Linked DNA regions of Rattus norvegicus. The protein of the gene in region 2 purifies or fractionates together with the protein of the main gene of each other region. This does not show direct contact. Links are inferred from orthologs where the notes say so. Each region holds a gene or a part of one and is shown on either strand. Other genes may lie near its edges.

Region 1 (3,068 bases), on a different chromosome or scaffold from region 2:
CTACCCAGGAATGCTACCTAACATCCTGATCACGTCTAGATGAGGTCACTCTGCCAACCTGAGGCTTCTAGGTCTGCAAGTGGGAAGGAAGCCTTCCACTGCAGAAAATAAAGGACCATGTGCAATACTAGATGATACCACGCTCTCCTTTCTCCTGAGGTTGACCTCAGCTCCCTATACATGCAGAATACAGGCTGTGTGTGGTTCTGGCTGGTTTCTGATTGATGTTATCACAGAGTACAGCCTCAGACTCCTGAACTTGAGGAACGGCCCCTGGGAGAGCAGAGCTAGAGGCAGAATGGGTGGGCTGAAATTGAGGCATTCAGTAAAAGGGGTGGAGGAAAATTCTTCTGAATTGCTTCACATGAAGAAGCACCATTCTTAGTCTCTTGGGACAACCTCATAATGGCTTTCATCATGTGTGTTCAACGTGCCTCCCCTTGAAGCTGCTGATATGAGGTCAGACAACTAATGTAGGAGGTATGAATGTAGAGATGTCTTCTAGTAACTGCCCCATCCCTGCTTCTTTAACCTGAAATAGGTTCAAGACCCTGGCTCGGCCCTAAAATGCAATTTATATGAATCTACAAACAGCAGGGTCTGGAAGCTGAGATACTGCTTGCTTATGACAGATCTCAGAGTGTTAGAATTATTATTCAGTTGTAGGAAGAGAGATAACGTCCATTTATTAAACAAGTGTTGAAGCAAGCCAGGGGACTAACTACAGGAATGAACAAAAAGTTCTTTTTTTTTTTTAATTAATTTATTTATTTCATGTACATGAGTATCCTGTACTCAGACACACAGAAGAGGGCATCAGATCTCATTACAGATGGTTGTGAGCCACCATGTGGTTGCTGAATTGAACTCAGGACCTCTGGAAGAGCAGTCAGTGCTCTTAACCGCTGAGCCATCTCTTCAGCCCGAACAAAAAGTTCTTACCTAGGGCAAGCTTATATAAAACAATCTGAATGCAAAATTCAAGGAATGACAGTAGATCAGGTCCTATGGAACCACAGGTCCAGCCAATACCTCGCCGTTCTTCCTCCATTCCGCTAGGTGGCAATGCGGAAACCTACCGCTCTCCCGATAGGCTCCGCGCGGGCGCGTATCTTTAAGCGAGCGGAAGAGCCGGTGCGCAAGGCATCCTGGCAGGCGGAAGTAGCTCGTACGCCGGTAGCCGCCATGCCGGGAGACCACCGCCGCATCCGAGGGCCAGAGGAGTCCCAGCCGCCGCAGCTGTACGCGGCCGAAGAAGACGAGACGCCCGCTGCTCGCGACCCGACGCGCCTACGACCGGTGTACGCCCGCGCAGGGCTGCTGAGCCAGGCTAAGGGCTCAGCCTACCTGGAAGCGGGAGGTACCAAGGTGCTGTGCGCCGTGTCCGGTCCGCGGCAGGCCGAGGGCGGTGAGCGCGGCGGCGGTCCCGCCGGAGCGGGCGGTGAAGCTCCGGCTGCTCTCCGGGGTCGCTTGCTCTGCGATTTCCGTCGCGCGCCCTTCTCCGGTCGCCGGCGTCGCGCGCCCCAGGGCAGCAGCGAGGATCGTGAGCTGGGTCTGGCTCTGCAGGAGGCTCTGGAGCCCGCTGTGCGCTTAGGACGCTACCCTCGTGCTCAACTCGAGGTGTCCGCGCTGCTGCTGGAGGACGGCGGCTCTGCGCTGGCCGCGGCCCTCACCGCTGCTGCGCTCGCCCTGGCCGACGCGGGAGTGGAGATGTACGATCTGGTAGTGGGCTGCGGCTTGAGCCTCACACCGGGGCCCTCCCCGACTTGGCTGCTGGACCCCACGCGACTGGAGGAGGAGCATTCTGAGGCCGGCCTCACGGTGGCGCTCATGCCCGTGCTCAATCAGGTGGCCGGGTTATTGGGCAGTGGGGAAGGCGGCCAGACTGAGAGTTGGACCGATGCGGTGCGCCTGGGCCTGGAAGGCTGCCAGCGCCTCTACCCGGTGTTGCAGCAGTGCTTGGTGAGGGCTGCCCGCCGGAGGGGTGCCGCCGCCCCGCCCTGATTGGAAAACTTGAGCGACGAGGATGCGGAGGACTGCTATCGCCCTTTTCTCCCAAAAGGACCAGCGCTGATGGTTGCCCGATTTCGCTGAGCTGAGACAGGAGAGTGGGGGAGTGGTGCGCACAGAACCAAAGCTCTGCACAGCTGCGTTGGAAAGAAGTTTAAAAGGCCGTTGGAAACACGATCCAGTTGGAGAAATTTGAAAGCAGCCATATTCCTAAGTTGGAAAGGACTTGGGCTGGATTTACTTAGTAAATGAGACCTGGGGCTATGGCCTTGTAAGGGATGGACCCTGTGCAGGCCAGCCGGCAGCTCCAATATAATTCTTTTTTTTTTTTTTTTTTTTTTTTCTGAGTTGGGGACCGAACCCAGGGCCTTGCGCTTGCTAGGCAAGCACTCTACCACTGAGCTAAATCCCCAACCCCAATTCTTTTCTTTTGAGAGGATGGACAAGGGGACTTTGCCTTCTCACTACTCGAAGTAAAACATAAAAACATTTTTATGCCTGGAAATAACATGTGTTGTGATTTTTCTTGAGTTAAAAACAATGCTGTTCAGAAATGGGTGTGTGTTGATTGTGTGTTGTCAAGGGTCCAAGTCATTACTGCCTTAAGTATTCCTGTTAGCCCGCTGTAAGAAAGAAAGGGTTATGTGCTTTGGAGGAGAAACCAGCTGCCCCGGGAGCATTGTCTAGGGCAGCTGCCGAGGGGATAAGACTGAGCAGATTTCAGGACAGCCAGAGCTACACAGAGAAACTCCCGTCTGGAAAAGTCTGGGGAGAGTTCAAAGGAGAAGCCTGGATGCACCCCTGTCCTTTCCTTTAGGACAAAACCATGTCTAGGAGTTAGGTAACTGAAAAGGATTATGCTCTGGAAAGAAGCCGGGTCCCATCCTGGTGCCTGTCCAGGCTTGGCTCCTGGGAACAAGGGTCTGGGCAGCAATGGTCTACTAAAATGCAGACCGCCTAATACTGTGGTATCATTTACAGCCTGGCTATTAAGGCAGAGCAGGCCTGACTGACCAGTATAGGGACTTATCCTGTTCTTCACAGGCTGAAGTGGAGGA
Region 2 (3,500 bases):
GGGAGGGCGCTCCCAAGGCAGTGGGCAGGGTGTGGGTGGAGGGAGAGCACACTGAAGGCAGACAGCTCTGAAGGTGAAATCAGACTCACCGGTCAACGCCTCCCAGGAGGGAGCAGAGGTCTGCGCTGAGGATGGAAGGCAGCATGTCGTAGCGGCGGTCGGCTAGGTAGTAAGTGGTGGCCCTGGAATGACACATGACGTAACTGACCTTCAGCAGCCAGAGGAACTGCTGACAGCGTGGGCTGTAGGAGGTAAACAGCTGAGAGCACAGTTGGGCTCCCCTGGGGCTACTGCTCTTCATAAAGCAGAGCCTCTGCGTAATGAAATGGCTCCCGTGTGCCCACTTGACCAAGTCACACTGCTTTGGCTGAATATTCCTCCACTGATGTAGAAAGTAAAAGTGACATGAATCTTGGTTGTATGAGAAAAACGGTAGCATAATGATCTAGATCTATACAAAATACTGTATTACATGTGAAAATTTACTCATTTTAACTTTGGAGGAAACAAACGATGGGTAAAAGGTTAAGAAAGGACGCAAACTAATCAAGGTACTATTTTCCTGAAGGTGGGGACTTCAGGAAAGCCCAGAAGAGATTTTCAGAGCTGCACAAATGAGAGATTGGGAGCATCTGAAACTAACAGGGATACAAACTCTCAGCGCCAATACTGCCTTCCAATAGGGTTACCTCGTTCTAGCTTCAACATCGATGTAAGAGTTGGGGGCCACAAAGTGGGTGACATCAGCTATGTGGACCCCGAGCTCCAGGTTGCCGTTATTCAAGGTTCTGACTGAGAGCGCGTCATCCACGTCCTCACAACCTTTAGGGTCGATGCTGAACACAAGGTGGGTGCTCCTCAGGTCCCTCCGCTCCTGCTCTTCTTTGGGACTCACTTTCCAAGGGTTTTCTGCTGTGTTCACTGGCATCTCACACATCTGCATCGCAGACAAATATTCAGAAACACACAAGGTTCTGTAAAAACCCATTCTCTTCAGAGGGGCTGGAGAGATGGCTCAGTGGTTAAGAGCAATGACTACTCTTCCAGAGGACCCAGGTTCAATTTTCAACAGCCACATGGTGGCCCAAAACTGTCTGTAACCCTAGTCCCTGGGGTTCCTATATCTTCTTCTGGCCTCTTCAGACAGCAGGCATTCATGAAGACACCATCTATCTTGTTTCTAAGACAGAGTCGTTGTACACTAGCCTGGAATGTTCCAGTGATGCCAGATTGGATGGTCATCAAACCCTTAGTTTCTCTTTCTGTCTCCTTTCCCAGAATTAGGACTATTACGAGTGTGTGTCACTGTTCCCAGATTTGTAAGTGGGTTCTGGTTGGAACTCAGATCCTCGTGATTGCATAGTAGGTGCTTTACTAAGTATCTTCCCTGCCTCATTTGCCTTCCTTGATTGGTAAGTGTTCATTAGGTGCCTCGCAGGTGTCAGACACTGGGCTGGGCTCTGGGAAGTCAGGAGTCAGCAGTCTGCTAGGTGATATCCTGTGACTTCTGACAGCCCCGTCAGCTGGGGGCCAGAGCAAGAAGGAACAGGTAAAACTGATGCACTGCATCCTGTTTCCATGTGAGCTGAGAGTTGAGCTTTTAACTCAAGTCAAGCCCTGGGGAGAAAAAAAATCTACACAATCCCCCCAAATAAACGTTATTTCTTAAAGATAATTTAAACAAGACTAATCTGGGACATTTTCCCTCTATGATTGCCTATTTAAACTATCAATCTGAAGCTAAGTAGGCTACAGGGGAGAGAACTGTAGGCCTGGGAAGTCTAGTTCCCACCTCACTGTAGTCTAACATTTTCACTAAGACGTGCTAAGCACGCCAACAAATAATTTTCAGAAACTAATGTTAAACATAAAAATTTAATTATGTAAAATATTCTAAATTTAATAATGTAAAATAGTTTACAATCTTTTCTTATTGTGACTCCTGTTCTGTCAGAAGCTATAATGAAAATAGGAACACCCAAGCGCTCTTAATGGTAATTCACATTGGGCAGCATATTTCTGGAAAACTATCTGCCAATACAGAACAAACCTATTTAAATTTTTTATGCCCTTTGGCTTGGTAATTTAACTTTAAGGGTGACATTCCAAGTGGATGATCAAAAAGAATAAAAAAAGCAACATTGATTAAAAAAAATGTTTCAAGTAACATTTTTTCTTAATACTGAAAAATTAAACACTACTAATGTCCAAAAACTGAGAAATGTTTAAGCAAACTAGGGTGGATTAATTTCAGTAATTTGTCTTAACTACTAAATCTAAGTAGGCTATGTCAATACATAGAAGCCATTTTAAGTGGAAAGGGCGAATGGGACGTAAGTGCACACGACGGCTACGACCCCGAGAGAGCAATAAAGGAGATTTACGGGGCTGAGAGCGACCTCCGTGATGGAGTCACTGGTGTTTTATGTTCACTGAACTGTGTTCTCTGTAAAGGTTCAGAGACCATCTCATGATGAGCCTGACTTTTTGACCCACCCATCTCTAGTTGGGGCAGAGCTTGGCTGGGTCTGTAGAGAAGACATGCAGGATGGGTGTGATGGTGCACGCCTTCAATCCCGCAGAGGCAAGCGGATCTCTGTGACTTCCAGACCAGCCAGGGCTACATAACAATATAAAACATTGAGGAAGGAGAAGGGGGAGGAGGAGGAAGAAGAGGAAGAGGAGGAGGGGGAGGAGGAGGATATGGAGGAGGGGGAGGAGGGAGAGGAAGAGGAGGAGGAGGAGGGGGAGGAAGAGGAAGAGGAAGAGGAGGAGGAAGAGGAGGGGGGAGGAAGAGGAGGAAGGGGGAGGAGGAGGGGGAGGAGGAAGAGGGGAGGAGGAGGGGGGGAGGAGGGAGAGGAAGAGGAGGAGGAGGAGGAAGAGGAGGGGGGAAAGGGGGAAGAGGAAGAGGGGAGGAGGAAGAGGGAAGGGCTGATAATGGATGCCTAGGGCTAGGCGTGGGAACTGACTTCAAGCCCATGACATGTCATTTTAAGCACAGCTGGAAAATATAAAAATTTGGGAGCTGTGAGGCTGTAAGAAGCTCAAGTCTATACTTGGAATTGATTTTAATTTAGTCGGTGCGTTGGTGCACAGTATGTCATCTTTTCAGGGATGGGGAGAAACCTCAGTGAATACAGGTTCCCTACACAAAGGAGGACCCCGTTTGCTCCCACATGAAAAGCTGGGAGCATGGGACACCTGTAATCCCCGGGCTGAGGAGTGAATCTGGAGGATCTGTGACGTTGCCCCCAGCCTTACTGATTTAGTGAGTTGTACATTCAATGAGAGATTCTGTCTCAAAACATGAGGTGGAGCGGCTGGAGAGATAGCTCAGCAGTTAAGGGCATTCAATTTCCTGAGGACCCAAGTTTGATTTCCAGCACCCATGTGAGCTTACAACGGCCAGATCCAGGGGATCCAACATCCTGTTCTGGCTACCCATGTGGATATGCACACATAGACATATACATACATACAAAAATAAAAATAAGTAAGGT
Region 3 (4,207 bases), on a different chromosome or scaffold from region 2:
CGAGAGAAAAGACAGATCTTATAAGTCAGCTGGGAAAGGTGTTTGAGCCAAAACAGCTGAGTTGAACCAGCCAGCCAGAGATCTGAAAGAATTGGGAAGGGGTGAGTTTATTCAGCAGTAATTCAGAGAGAGAGAGGCTGAAAACAGTCTAGACCTAGATAAGATCGTACAGAGGCTAGAAACTTCCAGAACTAGACCTAGGATAGCAGACAAAGGCAACAACTGCAACAGGAGAATAAAAGTTACATTTGTATCTCACTACGGATTTGCTCGTCACCTGTGGCTGGCTTTTACAACAGTCGTCTTTCAGAAGAGGTCTTTACTAAAGCACACTAAAGCCATAGGAGCACTAGGTGAGGATCCAGACCAGCACCTAAGGGTCAACTCCACTGTAGAATACAAGGCCCCCTAGGAACAGTATTCACTATCTTCTGCTCAGATAGTGGTTTAGAGTTGGATGGCAAACTCAAGGTTCACTTCTCAATCTCTAGACTTGACCAACAATAAATAAAATGATGAAATTGGATAGTTTGGGTAAAAACTCATACAACTGAGCATGGCGGTTTACGCCTGTAATCCCAGCTCTTGGGAGATAGAGGAAGAGGAGTTCAAGGGCATCCTGGGTTACACAGCCAGTTTGAGACCAACCTGGATGACATGAGACACTATCTTTAAAAAATTTTACACGGGGCTGGGGATTTAGCTCAGTGGTAGAGCGCTTGCCTAGCAAGCACAAGGCCCTGGGTTCGGTCCCCAGCTCCGAAAAAAAAGAAAAAAGAAAAAAAAAACTTAAAAAAAAAAAAATTTTACACCTGGGCTGGGTTCAGAGGTGGAGAGCACTGGCTGCATTTCCAGAGGACTTGGTTTCGATTCCCAGCACCCACATGGCGGATCACAAACATCTGTAATTCCAGTTCCAGGTGCTCCAACAACCTCTTTTGGCCTCTGTGGGCATCAGACACTGGAGTGTACGGAGACAAACGCAGGAAAAACGCTTATACACATAAAACAACAAACCAATCAGATGCGAAAAGCACCATTCGCACCACCACCAAAACCACAACCTACTCAAACTCATGTAATCGGAGCGTTTGGGAGGTGGAGGCATGAATCTCTGGAGTTCAGCAGGGTTATTCTCAACTGTACAGTTTGTGTCCAGCCATACACGGGACCTTTTCTCAAATACAAACGCCAAACCAAACCAATTCCCTTACAAGTCATATTCCCTTACAACGTCTTTCCGCGGGTGCTTTCTTGCCAATAGTAAACATGGCAGCTTGGTACCCTCTTTTCTTCGAGTTAACTTAATAGTTGCCAATAGTCAACATGGCCGCCACACTATACATTCCATTGGTCGCTTCTCTGAAGGTGGGCGGGAATTGAGGCGACTGTGTGGAGCTGCGCCTGCGCAAGTCATTGGCGCCAAGATGGCGTTGGAGATGAGGCTCCCTAGGGCTCGCAAACCTCTCAGTGAGAGCTTGGGCCGCGATTCTAAAAAACATTTGGTAGTGCCAGGGGACACGATCACCACGGATACAGGCTTCATGCGGTACGTGAGGATTTGGGGGTCCCAAGGCCTCAGGAGACGGCTGCAGAGCTCTCTGCACGTGGCCCGCTGCCCGGGAACCCAGGCCTCCTGTCCCCTTGTATCTAAGTCACCGAATACCTGGGACACCTCAGAGCATCCTCCTTTCCGAGCCTCATGCTTCTGACTTCCTGCATCTTGGGTGCTCCTCTGTCAGTTCCTGATTTCTCCTTTAATCTATGGTGTCAGGAACTTTTGAACCCTTATCCTGAAACTCAAGATTTTTGAGCTTTCCTGGGGAGGGCTGGGAGCAGGACCCTTCTTACAACCCTCTGAAGAGACAGTGGGTTGCTGGCTTGGTCGTTTCTTTCAGTGTTACCTCAGCGACGAGCCTGACTTTGAAGCAGTGATTTTCGTGGGGTGGGGGTTGAGGTAAGCATTCAGTACATACTGTGCATAGATGCACCCAATAATACAAACTTAGCAGGCTATCGGAACTTGTGGTACTTTGGGCCTGCTCTGGAGTCGTGCTCTCCTTAGCTGTAGCACCTAGCTAAGGCCGGTACCCTCACCTGGAAGACGGTGGTGACAACAGGAATTGGTAGAATCGGGAGTATTAAGCAACTGAAAAGTGGGGGCAGGAAGCAAAATTTCAGCAGTGGCCTGAAAAAACCTGGTTGTTTTTTCTTTCTGGTACAAATGAGATTATGGTGTTTATAGCATTGCCTCTAGACTTTATGTTTAAAGTATTAGATGACAGGTATCTTAGGATTCATTTCTTCATACTTGCAGCATAAGTTCAACATAGTCCCTGTGGTTGGGGTACCAAAGGCGGGGTTTATCATCTAGCAAGGAACAATAACAGTAAATGCCACAAGAACGTCGTAAATGCAGACGAAGGGGGAGAAGAGGGGTGTAGTTGGCAATGGGGTGGACCAGTGGGGATCCCTGTGTTGCCTGGGATGTGCAGTTCTGTTGTTGGAAAGTGACATTCGAGCACACTTTTTTTTTTTTTTTTCTTTGTTCTTTTTTTTCGGAGCTGGGGACCGAACCCAGGGCCTTGCGCTTCCTAGGTAAGCGCTCTACCACTGAGCTAAATCCCCAGCCCCTCGAGCACACTTTTTAAGATGGGGATGTCCACATGGCTCTGTGGAGGCAGGGGGAGCCTGTTAGGTTCAAGAACCATGTTCTAGATGCTCCCATGTTACCTCCAGTGTAACACTGCTATCCTTTCTTTGTGGTCTTGTCCTTGCACAGGGGCCATGGAACATACATGGGGGAGGAAAAGCTCATTGCGTCAGTGGCCGGCTCTGTGGAGAGAGTGAACAAGCTGATCTGTGTCAAAGCCTTGAAAACCAGGTGAGGACAGAGGTGTGTATGTCATTCTCGGAGCATCTGGGTTGTACACAGGCCTTCTCCGTCGTCTCCCCATGTCATCTAGGATCATTCCTGTCACACGCCTGCTAGGTTGAATGTGCCTGTTTGTCACAGTTAGTGCCGGCAGCCAACTTGACACAAAGCTGGAGTTACCTTGGGAGCGGAAACCTAAAGCTAAGAATTGTCTCCATCAGATTAGCTTGTGGGCATGTCTGTGGGAGCATTTTCTTCATTGGTAATTGATATAGGCAGTGTCACCCCTGGACCAGTGGGCCTGGGGTGTGGAAGGATGGGCACTGTGCTGCAGGCCTTTTATCCTAGTACTTGTGAGGCAGAGGCAGGCAGCTCTCTGTGAGTTCCAGGGCAGCTCTGTGTGTGTGTGTGGGGGGGGGGGGAGAACAAAAACCTGAGTCTGGGAAGCAAACCAGCCAGTAGTGTTCCTCCACAGACTCTGCCTCAGTTCTGGCCTCCAGGTTCCTGCCTGGCACTCCTCCGTGATGGAGTGTAATCTGTAGGCCTAATAAACCCTTTCCTTCTCGAGTTGCTTTTGGTTGTGGTATTTATCACAGCAACAGAAAGCAAACTAGGACACTACAGAAGGTGTGAGCTTCAAAGGTTTCCTCACGTCACTTGATCCCTCCATGCGTTGGGCTTTCCTTTTCCACATCATAAAGAAAGTAACCAACTCAGGATTGTTCATTCGGAATTCAGTGACCTGCTACAGTAAAGTACTTACACACAGGGCCCAGGACCTAGAAGAAGCCCATAAAGGTGCGTCCAGAAGGGAAGCAATGAGCCTGGGACTGATTAGTCAGGCAAGCCGGAGCTGTGGCAGCCAAGTGGTCACCCTGCCTGGCAATGACAGTGAGGACTTGGGCTTCGTACTGTACCAATTGGGAAGCCCTTGGAAGGGATCAAGCAGAAGAGAGCAAGAGAGCTGTGATCTGACCTACGTCTTCATCACTTGCTGTGGTTGCCATGGAGACAGTGAAGGGGGACAGGGCATGTTTAGGGAGCTGGGCTGGGGAACTGTATTCATCTGAGAAATGACCGAGTGATGGCAGGCATGGCCCTCAGCAGTGGCTATGTCCTCTGTATGCCTTGCTTTCAGAGTGTCCTTTGAAAGGCTGTTGCAGTAACTGATGTGTTTAAGGAAAGCTAACAGAAGGAATAGAGATATTTTTAGTTCCCCGTTTCCAGTCTGGATGTCTTTGTTTCCCTCACACATTTGGAGGTGCCTTCAGCAGGGTCTGTGCTGTGCTTATCCCAGAGTGTGACAGGCATCAAGGTTTCTGCCTAAGCATG
Region 4 (3,998 bases), on a different chromosome or scaffold from region 2:
ATCTGCTCCTACAATACACAGGGTTGTTAAAGAGGACTCAGTGGGACTATAATCTGCTCTATCTACCCCACAGGTATGAAGCAAACAATAAAAATATACCTCCAAGCTAGGTGTCACGGTCCCACCTATAATCATTATAAGAGCACTAGGGAGGCTCTGGTAGGAAGATTGCTAGTTTGAGGCCAACCTGAAATACATATCAAGATTTTCAAAAAGCAACAGCAACCAGGTGATATCGCACATGCCTCAGATCCCAGCACTCTGGGCAGAGATAGGCAGATCTGTGATCTCAAGGCCAGCATGGTTTACAGAAGGAGTTCCAGGACAACAAAGGCTACAAAAAGAAACCCTGTCTCCAAAAACAAGCAAACCAAACAACAGCAAAAAAGGGCCCATCACCAACAAACACAACAAAATCTCAGGACTATGTATTTCATATTCTGAGTGAAAACACTCCCAAATGTATACTAAGTGACCGAATCTTTAAAAATAATCAGAACTCCAAAACCTACTATACAGGTGCATATAGACAACCGCAGGCGCTTTGTGCTTGCATCCAGGCTATAGAGAAAACTTACTGGCCAAGGTAAGGGAGGGAAACTTATGGATTTAACCAAGCAAATGAAAAAGAAAAAAGAAAAACTAAACTAATACTGAGCCACAAAGATAATAATCACGTGTATGTGGAACAAAAAATTGTGCTTGGCTAAACTGACCACTGTAAAAACCACACGGACGAAAGACGAAAAAAAGAGAAGGACCAGATTCCAGCACTCACAGTGGCTGCCCCCTTCTAACCTCCGCAGCACTGAGCACACACGTGACGAAAAGACATACAAGCAGGTATGCTTGTTCAATACATTCGTACAATAAAAATAGATATACAGTTTTTTAAAGGGCCAAAAAAAAATAGTCTCCGCTGGGACCAGCGCCTCCGACAAACCGAGGACGTCCGGAAAGAGAAGTTTGTCTTCAAGGCGTACCTACTTCAACAACCGAGGAGAAGCTGCAAAAACCAGCTCGGCTCGGGCCTTTGATTTCCCGGAACCGAACGACGTGACTCGTACATTCAGCAGGCCGGGGAAGCTACGAGCCTTGCACCGGAAAGGGACTAGTTTACCGGAAGTTATAGCTCTCCGAGACTGAAAAGGAAACGGACCGGCGGAAGTCGTAGTCGCGGAAGCCCAGGTCATCTAAGGGGTCGTGCTCTCGGAGGCGGAGCGAGGACTGCGCAACATGGCCGGGCTGGAGCTCCTGTCCGATCAGGGTTACCGGATAGACGGTCGCCGCGCGGGGGAGCTGCGCAAGATTCAGGCGCGGATGGGCGTGTTTGCGCAGGCCGATGGCTCGGCTTATATCGAGCAGGGCAACACCAAGGCACTGGCGGTGGTCTACGGGCCTCACGAGGCGAGTAAGCGGCAGGGATTGGGGGCTCGTGGCCGCACGACGAGGAAGTAGACCTTACAGCTTAACTCCTCTACCTATGCAGCAGTATACTAAAATCCCATCTTTGAATTTCTGGGGTCCTCCCTGGCAGAAAGCATCTCAACACACGTTGTCCCACCGTGTTGTAGGGGAAATGATGTGCGTGCATCTGCGAGGACCTGGCTTCTTCTGATTTCACCTCACGAGCTCTTTCCCTTGGTTAACTTCCATTTCAATCCTTCCTTTGTGTTACATCCACTAAGCCATGAATATAATTATACCCCGAGTTCTGAGTCCTCTCGGGGAATTGCATCCCTAACATGGCCCTCAAATTTGTATAAGTATTAGGTCCCATGATGAACTGAGAATATTGGTTTCTTTAAGAACCCAGTTATGTTATGTGATTATGTTTTTGTTTTAATCCCACGGGTGGGATATGGGGCTGCTTCAGATTGTCCACAACTACTATGATTGTCTCATGCAGGGACTGGGGGCTCATGGCTGCACATCGTGGGAGTGGACATGAGTCTTACTGCTTAACTCCTCCGTCTCAGTGGGCCTCTTTTCTCCTGGGCTGCCCTCTTCATCTCTGAGGTGCCTCATACATCCTGGCAAAGCTACACTCAGTCCCTGTTCTTTCAGTCCAGTGTTTTGACATCTTGTCCGGAAAAGGCCTCCCAGGCTATTTCTGCCCCTGCTACATCGATTTTCCTCAGTCTTCCATGTCTCTTGTCTCTCTACTGGAATGTAAACTCCCAAGACAGAGACATTATAAATTGCCTGCCTTTGCTGCTTTGTCTCAGTGGTGTAGCAAGGCCGGCAAACATGCACATTTTAAGGGTTTTTTTGTTTGTTTGTTATTTGTTTATTATATATAAGTACACTGTCACTGTCTTTTAGACACACCAGAATGGCATCAGATCCCATTACAGATGGTTGTGAGCCACCATGTGGTCGCTGGGATTTGAACTCAGGACCTCTGGAAGAGCAGTCAGTGCTCTTAACCAATGAGCCCACATTTTAAGGTTTGCTAGCAATTTGCTCAGCTTTCTAGGTGGAAGCCAGGTCAGGTCTAGAACACATTAGGCCAGACTACTGGTAGACCGAGGGACAGTAGATCAAATAAAGTTGAGTGGTTAACCAAGGAGATGAGGACCCAGGGCTTTGAAGGTCGGGGAAATTGAGATTTTCTTTTACATGTAATGAGAAGCTTCTGGAAGGTAAGTAAAATATTAGTGTGTGGGTGACACAGTCAAATCACATGTTTGTAAACATGGTGACCACGATGGGAATGATTTAGGAAGAAATGGAGCAACTAAAGAACAAAGGGGTTTTTTTTGCGGAAGGTGACAGTGGTGCGGCTTAGACCGAAGTGTAGCCCTAAACCGCCTGCCATGGTTTGGAACCAAAGTAGCTGCTGCTTTCTGAAGCACTTTAGAAAGAAGAGGAGGAAGGCTGAGCCATCGAGTGTGACCCAGGAGGTAGGCGGCCCTGGCTCATTCCTTCTTTTTTCCTCCAGATCCGGGGCTCCCGGTCACGGGCTCTGCCTGACCGGGCTCTAGTGAACTGTCAGTACAGTTCAGCAACCTTCAGCACAGGTGAGCGCAAGCGAAGGCCTCATGGAGACCGGAAGTCTTGTGAGATGGGGCTGCAGCTACGCCAGACCTTCGAGGCAGCTATCCTCACACAGCTGCACCCACGTTCTCAGATAGACATTTATGTGCAGGTGAGCCTCAAACCACTCCCCCGGGGGCGGGGCTTAAGGGGATGAGGTCTGCCTGAGATGCTGGAGGATGAGATGTCTGATGTCCTGATGCCCCCTGCAGGTGCTACAAGCAGACGGTGGGACCTATGCAGCATGTGTGAATGCAGCCACGCTAGCAGTGATGGATGCTGGGATACCCATGCGGGACTTTGTGTGTGCATGTTCGGCTGGTTTTGTGGATGGCACAGCACTAGCGGACCTCAGTCACGTGGAGGAAGCAGCTGGCGGGCCCCAGCTAGCCCTGGCCCTGCTGCCAGCCTCTGGCCAGATTGCACTGCTTGAGATGGATTCGAGGTTGCATGAAGACCACTTGGAGCAGGTGCTCGAGGCTGCTGCCCAGGCAGCCCGGGATGTGCACACTCTGCTGGATCGTGTTGTCCGGCAGCATGTGCAGGAGGCCTCTATCTTACTGGGGGACTGAGGCCAACCCCCCATATCCAGAATAAAGGCCTGTTCCTCTCCTGAACACACTGTAATGTACAGCACTTCAAAGCAGCTCAGGGCCCTACATAGCAGTTTGTACTGCAGTCCCTAAGTGGAGAGAACACTTGTGCTAGGAAGAGCAAGAGTGCTCATGCTGTGCCTGCCCAGATATCAGGGTCCACAAAGACCACCAGGGGTCTGGATTTGTATGCAAAAGCAAAGCCTTTATTCACACTTAAGCTTGGACCCTCAGAATCCTCCAAGCATCAGATTTGTGCTGAGACCTTGAACCTCATTTAGGCAAGGTTTTTATACTAGTTTGAGCAGGGAACGGGGGTCTCCAGCATAGCGATTGCCTTACTTAGCAAGGGTTGAGCAGGGAGGG

The links. Proteins that work in one complex are often made in the same cells at the same time.
Region 1: the proteins of Dis3l (region 2) and Exosc6 purify together in Homo sapiens (affinity purification with mass spectrometry; 3 studies listed by BioGRID and IntAct, with this or other methods). This does not show direct contact. The link is inferred for Rattus norvegicus from reciprocal best matches to the Homo sapiens genes DIS3L and EXOSC6.
Region 3: the proteins of Dis3l (region 2) and Exosc2 purify together in Homo sapiens (affinity purification with mass spectrometry; 5 studies listed by BioGRID and IntAct, with this or other methods). This does not show direct contact. The link is inferred for Rattus norvegicus from reciprocal best matches to the Homo sapiens genes DIS3L and EXOSC2.
Region 4: the proteins of Dis3l (region 2) and Exosc4 purify together in Homo sapiens (affinity purification with mass spectrometry; 5 studies listed by BioGRID and IntAct, with this or other methods). This does not show direct contact. The link is inferred for Rattus norvegicus from reciprocal best matches to the Homo sapiens genes DIS3L and EXOSC4.

The regions. Positions count from the first base shown.
Region 1 is NC_086037.1:55,930,370-55,933,437, forward strand, and holds Exosc6 (exosome complex component MTR3), read left to right. Parts: upstream 1-1,153; 5' UTR 1,154-1,185; coding exon 1,186-2,004; 3' UTR 2,005-2,568; downstream 2,569-3,068. UniProt on the Homo sapiens protein: Non-catalytic component of the RNA exosome complex which has 3'->5' exoribonuclease activity and participates in a multitude of cellular RNA processing and degradation events.
Region 2 is NC_086026.1:73,708,028-73,711,527, forward strand, and holds part of Dis3l (DIS3-like exonuclease 1), read right to left. Parts: intron 938-3,500; coding exon 690-937; intron 183-689; coding exon 90-182; intron 1-89. UniProt on the Homo sapiens protein: Catalytic component of the RNA exosome complex which has 3'->5' exoribonuclease activity and participates in a multitude of cellular RNA processing and degradation events.
Region 3 is NC_086021.1:35,359,259-35,363,465, forward strand, and holds the start of Exosc2 (exosome complex component RRP4), read left to right. Parts: upstream 1-1,407; 5' UTR 1,408-1,427; coding exon 1,428-1,549; intron 1,550-2,782; coding exon 2,783-2,884; exon of another isoform or gene 2,885-2,896; intron 2,897-4,207. UniProt on the Homo sapiens protein: Non-catalytic component of the RNA exosome complex which has 3'->5' exoribonuclease activity and participates in a multitude of cellular RNA processing and degradation events.
Region 4 is NC_086025.1:109,927,293-109,931,290, forward strand, and holds Exosc4 (exosome complex component RRP41), read left to right. Parts: upstream 1-1,198; 5' UTR 1,199-1,236; coding exon 1,237-1,407; intron 1,408-2,944; coding exon 2,945-3,151; intron 3,152-3,251; coding exon 3,252-3,611; 3' UTR 3,612-3,941; downstream 3,942-3,998. UniProt on the Homo sapiens protein: Non-catalytic component of the RNA exosome complex which has 3'->5' exoribonuclease activity and participates in a multitude of cellular RNA processing and degradation events.